Caenorhabditis elegans: one gene and its partner. The protein of the gene in region 1 purifies or fractionates together with the protein of each later gene. This does not show direct contact. Each region holds a gene or a part of one and is shown on either strand. Other genes may lie near its edges.

What was found.
Region 2: the proteins of K09F6.7 (region 1) and T16G1.4 fractionate together in Caenorhabditis elegans (co-fractionation; one large-scale study listed by BioGRID). This does not show direct contact.

The regions. Positions count from the first base shown.
Region 1 is NC_003280.10:2,290,262-2,294,185, reverse strand, and holds K09F6.7 (RING-type domain-containing protein), read left to right. Parts: upstream 1-2,058; coding exon 2,059-2,134; intron 2,135-2,177; coding exon 2,178-2,353; intron 2,354-2,407; coding exon 2,408-2,476; intron 2,477-2,594; coding exon 2,595-2,837; intron 2,838-2,886; coding exon 2,887-3,139; intron 3,140-3,186; coding exon 3,187-3,269; downstream 3,270-3,924.
Region 2 is NC_003283.11:12,939,508-12,943,704, reverse strand, and holds T16G1.4 (CHK kinase-like domain-containing protein), read left to right. Parts: upstream 1-1,857; 5' UTR 1,858-1,920; coding exon 1,921-2,073; intron 2,074-2,116; coding exon 2,117-2,515; intron 2,516-2,561; coding exon 2,562-2,811; intron 2,812-2,887; coding exon 2,888-2,991; intron 2,992-3,036; coding exon 3,037-3,198; intron 3,199-3,245; coding exon 3,246-3,320; intron 3,321-3,361; coding exon 3,362-3,493; 3' UTR 3,494-3,564; downstream 3,565-4,197. Other genes in the region: T16G1.3 (CHK kinase-like domain-containing protein), read left to right, coding at 1-268, 320-569, 614-717, 875-1,036, 1,087-1,161, 1,203-1,340.

The DNA of each region.
Region 1 (3,924 bases):
AAAAATTTGTAGAAAAAAAAGGCATTCGAAACTGAAACTCGAAAACTAGAGATTTTTAGTATGGTTAGTGCGTATGCCTGCAGAAATTTTGGTAGTTGGTTCAATTCTACCAAGTGCCAATTTTTTTTTTGTTTTTTGTGAGTAGTCGGGATTCAAATAGAAATACTCGATTTTATACAAAATATGGGTACGTCTCCCCTAATATAAAGCCTCCTCAAACTTCAATCAATCAAAACTCAGCTTTAACTGATTCATCGGGTGCATCTGTTTTTGGTCAAACCGAACTCAAAAATCAAGAAGACTCCCATTGACCTACTGAAATTTTCACGAACCCTCTAACAGGTTCGAGGCGAAGCCGAGAACCTACGCCCGGTTAGGGGACTCGCCCTACACCCCTACAACTGGCGGGCCCGCAGGGCCCGCTAGTCATGGAAAACAATATCCAAATGTGGCTGCACTGAAACTTGGTATTGAGGATGCTTGGAGAGAAATACCAGCCAGCAAAATAAAGAATCTGGTCAACTCAATGTCGAATAGGTTTTTTGAGGTTATCGTTAAGAAGGGAGGTCCCACGACGTATTGATCCTTCATCCAGTTAACAAATTATGATGTTTTAATTGATTTAATTCCACTTCTGGACAAAGAAGGACAAATAGTGCAATCTGGTACAAGTTTCATACAACCTAAAACTCCGTCGATTTGTAAAAAATCTTTCAAACATGTATCCATGAGTGTCTCAAAACATCTTGGTCAGTTTTGGACTCGATCCCACCGAGAATGGGCCTCTGACGCAAAATGGAGCGTTTCAGGACAATTGCGGGATCCTAAGAATCTCCACGTATAATATTTCTGCCGAGAATTGATCACTATGATATCTGAATCAAATTGACTCCGTTTTGTTATCTTGCTGTGTCTAGAAATGTCAAAAAATGTGGTTTTGTTGGAAAAAATATCAAAATTCAGAAGGGGCGCTATAGAAGTTGCACGGCCGTTTTTACGATTTTTTGACCTAGTCACATCAAATTTTGTTATTTTTTCTTGAAAATTTTGGACAAGGGGTTTTTTGACATTTGAAATCGAATGGCATTGTCAGTTTTTCAAGAAAAAAATCAGAATGGCGTGAAACGCGATAAAATAGGGGGCGCTATAGAAGTTGCACGCACTGTATAGATATGAACGATGGTGTTTTGTATGGAGCTGGTATTGAACTGGAAATTCCGGAATGGTGCTATAGTTCAGATATTGGAAGTTAGTGTGTCTTTTGAGTGTACATTATTTTTTATTCATTTCGTGAAACATTTTCAGAGCATTCGCCATCTGACTCAAAGGATCTGATTGCAAACCTACCAACTATCAAATTTGAGCATGGAAATTCAACATTTGCAAATAATCATCGAAAAATTAGTTTAGGTTGAAACTGTGCGATAAGAATTCCTGTCGTTTTAGTTTCATCTAAAACGAGAGTTTGCTCGCTACATTGTTATCTAACAGTGAGAAATAACTTTATCGATTTCAACTTCAATCGTTTTTTTTTCTATTTTTTCGAGCGCTTTTTGGTGAAATCAAAACTTTCAAGCAGTTTTGGTTGATCTTTTTTCCAAACATTCAAAATCAAAGTCCAAAATCAAATAATTTATGTAAATGAAGAGAAAACAGAGAGAAGGTCACATTTCTGGCAAGCTCCATAAAGTCAAGCTGTTGACAGAGTTTTATGTCAGCCCGCTCGTCCTTAGCAAGAATGTCAAAAAACCAACAATTCCTAATACTTCTCATTTTTAATTAAAGCCACATAATTTTTTGAATTGAACTAGGGCGTGATAAAGTGTAGATCAAAATTTTTCGCAAAATTATATGAATGATCCCGTGAGTTCAGGAGGTTTGCTATTCATCTCAATAGATTTTGAGCAATTTCTTAGAGTATTACTTGAAAGGTGCATTGAAACAGGACTGCCTCATAAATATGACATTTATATCTAAGAATGAGGAAGAAATTGCATATTTAATGGTTTTTCAGTGGTAACTGTCACCATTCTTAACCACACCAATTCAAAACTGAAAATGTCAATGCCAAAATGTGAAATCTGTAATGACGACTATTCAAGCGAAGATGGAGATCACTCTCCGCGAAATCTAAGTGAGTGATTTTTTGCGTGGTCTTTGTAAAGTTAAAATTTCAGAGTGTTCACACACGTTATGTGAAGGTTGCATCAAAAAAATGTTAGGTAATAGCAAAATTGTATGCCCATTTTGTCGCGAGCCAACCGATATGCCGGGAAACAAGATGGAAAGTTTGCACAAGAACTTTGCATTGATTCAAGCGATTCAACTATTCGCAAAAACCACTAAGATAACAGTAAATAAAGATAATAAGTTTTTTCATTGATTCAAGCACATTGGACTTTTTCAGGAAGTAGAGGAGCCAATGTTGGAAAAGTGCAAACATCACCCTGATTACTTGGTGGAAACCGTATGCGTGGTAGGTCACTTTATTAAATTTTTTTTTTTCCACTCACTTGTGGAAATTAAATTTTAAATTGCTTTTCAAAGAACTTTCTCATTGATCCTTACGAGCTTAAAGTGTTAGTTATTTGAAGGAAGAGGATTGTTCCGAATCGGGAAAATACATGTGCCGCAAATGTGTATCGACTCTATCTCATTTGCATCATACGAAAAAATCGTTGATTGCGGAAATGGAAAAATCACGCGAATTGCTTCAGGGGAGGATAAATCGCTTGAATAAGACAATAGGCGAGATTGATCAAGATGTTCGAAAGCTCAGGATGTCACAAATTGCGTTTCGCGAAGGTGGAAATAATTACCAACAAAAAGCAAATGAGGTTAGGTGTTTATGAAAACGCGATTGAAATGTGTATTACATTTTTTCAGATAACTACTTTTTACTCCAGAATTCGTGAAATGGTTAATGAACGTGAAAAGGAGGCACTCGTCAAATTAAAGGAAGTGGCAAAGTCAATTTTGGATGAAAATGATAGTGCATTACCTCCGCTGTTAAGATCTCACCAAAAGTTAACTGAATATGTTCGTAAAGCAACTGAGGCAAAGAAAAGGAACAACGCAATAGCATGTATAACAGCAGCAGAGGATTTGCTAAACAAAACAAAAGATTGTTGTGATGAAGGTAGCTATTATTGCATTTGAAGCTAAGAATAAATTACTAGATTTCAGAATATTATACAATCGAATCACAGGATATTAATGTATGCATCAAACCAATTGATATTCCAGTGGCAACAATAACCCGAAAGTAGTGATAGAGTGGCTTTTTCACCACCCCGAGGATTTTTGACCGCAGACGGTCACGAATAGTGTGTGAATCGAGAGATTCAGAGAAAGACGAGAGAGTGAGAGACTTGGTTATAGTAAGAAACTATCGATTTTTTGGGGTGTTCTTGGTCCTCTCAACCAGGGGACAGTTTTTTAACCAGGATTTTTGTGATTTGATTGTCGATTTTTGAAATAGCGTGCGTTTTCGAGAGATTTAGAGAAAGTCAGACAGAGCTTTTTTCGAAACTATTTTCGAAATTGGGTTTCTGTAATAATTCAAATGATTATTATTAATTTCATAACATTATTTCATAACTTTTTATTTCATAATTTTTGTTTTTCCCCGGACCGGATTCGAACCCAGGACACGATTTACATGAACAGATGGCATCTTTTCCCAAAGCAACAAGAGACGATTTGCATGAATGCAAGTGTTACCTAGATTGATGAATCATAGGAAGGAGGCCCCCCACGCCCCGCCCCTGGGGGTTTCAAGAGTTTAAGTTGAACATTTGAACGTTACTTCAATTAATGTTACCTGTGCTATTTGAAGTTTTCGTTTTCGAAAACTTCAAATAGCAGGTTTCTTCAAACAAGACTTTTTTTTGTAAATATTTATTCAGTTGATTAAATTAATAA
Region 2 (4,197 bases), on another chromosome or scaffold:
GGATCAAATGAATCTTCAAGATAAAAGTGAATCTGCTTTATGGTCAATTTTTGAATATGAAGCACAAGGTCTGCATAACCGAGAAGTGAATTTATACGAAATTATTGGAAAATGGAATATGGATGATGTACTTATGAGCCCTAAAGTTTTCTTTTCGAAGAAATTTGATTCTGAAAATTTGACGAAAGGATTTTTTGCAATGGAATATGTCGATAATGCAATCACAAGACATCTGTATATAAACTTAAAATCATACGAACTTCATTCGGTAACATATATATGCACATTTATTTTACAATTCGTTAGTGGACTTTTTTAGATATTAAAATCTCTTGCCGTTTTCCAAGCTGAAAGTCTTAAGTTGAACAAAAGAGAGCAAGAAAGTGTTACTGGATATGACTTGGAAAAGATTGTTGGAAAAATGTTTAGCCAGAATGGGCTCAACAGTATTTTTGAACAAGTCCGCCAGATTAACAAGGAAGAACTATCTGAAGCTGCAGATAAAATTGCAGTGTTTGGCGTTGAGCTGGTTAATTTTGATTTGGTGAAGAACTTGAACAATTATTTAGGTCAGCAGAAAATATGTTGATCATGGCGAATAAAAATGTTTTAGGAATCAAGAAAAATGTTTTGGTGCATGGTGATTTGTGGTCAGCTAATATAATGTGGAAAGAGAACAAAGACGAATTCCGTGTCGACAAAATTATTGATTATCAGGTATCTACAATAAATAACTCAATAATAGGTAGCTAGGCGTCGATTCTAACAAAAACTACAATTTTCTCATTCCCAAAACTCTTGTTCAACTGCGAATATTTCAAAACTACTCTGAACCTCAAAATCAAAAACATTGTAACCGTTGAACATCTTCCAGTCGATTCATTTGGGAAATCCAGCCGAAGATCTTGTGCGCCTGTTCATTTCTACACTCTCCGGTTCCGAGAGACAAAAATATTGGGAAAAGCTTCTAGAGCAATTTTACGAATATTTCATAGAAGCTCTTGAAGACAAAAATGTTCCATATACTCTTGAGCAGGTATATTTTAACTGATATTGAAACATTACATTTGATGTTATTTTTTTCAGCTAAAAGAATCATATCGTTTGTACTTTGTGACCGGAAGTCTTCTCATGTTACCGATGTTTGGTCCCATTGCTGAGGTAATTTCAAATTATTTTAAATAGAAATATTTGGTTTCCAGGTTAAACTCGCTGAAATGTCAGATCCAGATGAAGTTAAAAAATACCGAGAGATTTTGACCGAGAAAACAAAACGTCTTCTAAATGACATGGAACATCGGCACTTGTACACTAGAGAAATCATCAAAAAGTGGAAATAGGACGATTTCAAAAATTAATTCTTTGAATACGCTTGTTTGCAAAGTTTACACGTGATGTGTTATCACCAGTTCGCAGTTTAATAAATCTAGAAATACCGAATGTTGAGCATAAAAAATGTGTACCTTATCTATTGTGCAGGTGTGGTAAGTTCATGTGATACATGGCCTTCTGACATTGAAAAAAAAATTGAGATATTCATTAAGTACAGTTTCATAAATTAAATCTAATTAAAACGACGTTCTTGAGCTTGAACGGTTTGAAAACATAAAAAAAAACCTTTAAAAATTATAAAAAATAGATGTTTATTGAAAGTTAAAATTTTAAAGTCAAATGGTAGTTTATTACTAAAAAAATAATTATACAAAAGCTCAATAAGACTATCGGGGATGTCATTTAATTAAAGAATGCGGTGGTATGCTTACAATTAGGAAATACTTTTTCAACTTGTGACTTGAATTCAGCGTATGAACCGAATGGTATGATAACGTTGATAGCAGAGACCACACTGAACTCATCATTGGTATAAAAAGCAACTGCTTCTTGTCTCTTAAATTTACTTTCTTCCTGCGACTAAGAAGAATGAGTGAATCTAAAACTCTTATCCAAAATGGAGATGGTTTATTTCAAACCCATGTTCAGCTGGAAGATGTTCAAGAATTGATTAGAGATCAAATGAATACTGAAGCAAGACTTGGAGAGAAGACAAAATATACTGTTGTTGGAGATGGAAATGTAAGTTCAAACTATTAAAATATTCACAAGACGTTTATTTCAGGGATTTATGAGTCGTGTGATTTTGGTTGAGCCTGAGTGGACTATCACAGATGAGAATCTCCCGAAGAAATTTATTCTGAAAATCACATCATGTCTCCATGTCGTTGGTCTTCTTGAAAAACTAAAAGAAAGCGAACAGAACGTGATAAATGATGCAAATGAAGCTGATTTGATGGCCCTATTTGAGAATGAATCACGACTTTTTCATAACAGAGAAGTTAATTTGTATAAAATTACGAAGAAATGGAATAAGAATGATGAGTTGTTAAGTCCAAAGATTTATTTTTACAAAAAGTTTGATTCTGAGAACCAAACAAAAGGAATATTGGGCATGGAAGCTGTTGATGATGTAACTGTAAGACATCTCTATTACAATGTAAAACCATTTGAGCTGCACTCTGTAAGTTTTAAATCAGATTATCAAGTAAAACTCAATTTATTTACAGGTATTAAAATCGATTGCCAGACTTCAAGCGGAAAGTCTTCATTTGACTGATCAGGAAAAACAAAGTATTGCTGGATTTGATTTGAAGAAGATGTCAAACACAATATTCAGTGAAGAAGGCATGCAAAATAATTTTAAGCAGACTCGTGAAATCAATCCGGAACGATTAAAAGAAAGCGTCGACAAAGTTGAGATTTATGGAACTGAGCTCGTAGATTTGGATAAAGCTATTAACCTAAACAGTTACATTGGTGAGTTTTCTTTCACAAATTTGGATATATTTTACCTATCAGTGAAAACTATTGAGAGATAAGATCTTTATGTCAGGTATCGAACGTGATGTCTTGGTGCACGGAGATCTGTGGTCAGCGAATATTCTATGGGAAGAGAATGAGGGAAAATTTTTAGTAAGCAAAGTTATAGATTACCAGGTAAGTCCCCAAAAAGTTGTGTTTTTTATCTCTGTAATATTGCAGCTCATTCACATGGGAAACCCAGCTGAAGATTTGGTAAGACTTCTTCTTTGTACACTTTCTGGAGCAGATCGTCAAGCACACTGGGAAAGGCTTTTGGAGCAATTCTACGAGTATTTCTTGGAAGCTCTTCAGGACAACGAGACGCCATATTCACTGGAGCAAGTAAATGTTTTGTAGTTCATGGTATTTGAACAATGTTCTAGTTTTAGTTAAAAGAATCCTACCGTCAATATTTTGTTACTGCTGGTCTCTTTATGTTGCCCATGTTTGGACCGATTGCACAGGTATTGTCTGTAACGTATATGAGAAAGTTAATTGATTTCAGATGAAACTTTCTTATTCATCCGACAACGAACACGCAGAAGAGTATCGTGAAGTTCTCACAGAAAAAGCTGAACGGCTAATGGAAGATTTGGAACGTTGGCACTTGCACAGTAAAAACTTTAAGCAAATCTAAAATAGAAGTGTAAATGAAATTTCTATGTAAATATTATATAAGTTGAGCCAAATAAACCGTTTGTTGTAAATAATATTTACAAGATATACAGATGTATAAAAAATAATAATGGCAGGTAAATTTACAAACCAAAAACGAATAGTTGTATTAATAAGTTCCAATAAGGCGCAATAAATATTCTAGCTATTAACACTCCGGCAGTATTATTTTAAATATCTATTTTTCTTTAGACATAGCCTAAATCAAATAATTCGCCTCAAATATCCAAATATCAATTAGTTACACAAAAGATAGAAAACTTATTTGACCAAATAGCGTTGTTTTTAGAAATAGAAAAAAAATAATAATGTTTTGTAAATCCACATCTAACTCAGATAAAATTTAGTTAACTTCCCCGAAAACTTTATTGCACATTATAGGGGTCCAATATTCAATAAATTTAGAAAAACAACTATTTTAATAAACTGTACCAAAGTTCATAGCAATGCATTGAAAATCAAGGGAAAAATATAAAATAACGGAAAAAAGTAAACTCTAGTATTGCACAACTTTTTGTAATTTCACATAATGTGGTTTGTGTTGACGATCAATCGTGCGTAATCTATGAAATTGCGTCACTAAGTAAGTAAAGAAAAACAATGGAACACTCCCATTTTCACTTGATTGAGGTGATTCTATATAAACAAAAATTACCAATGCAAAAT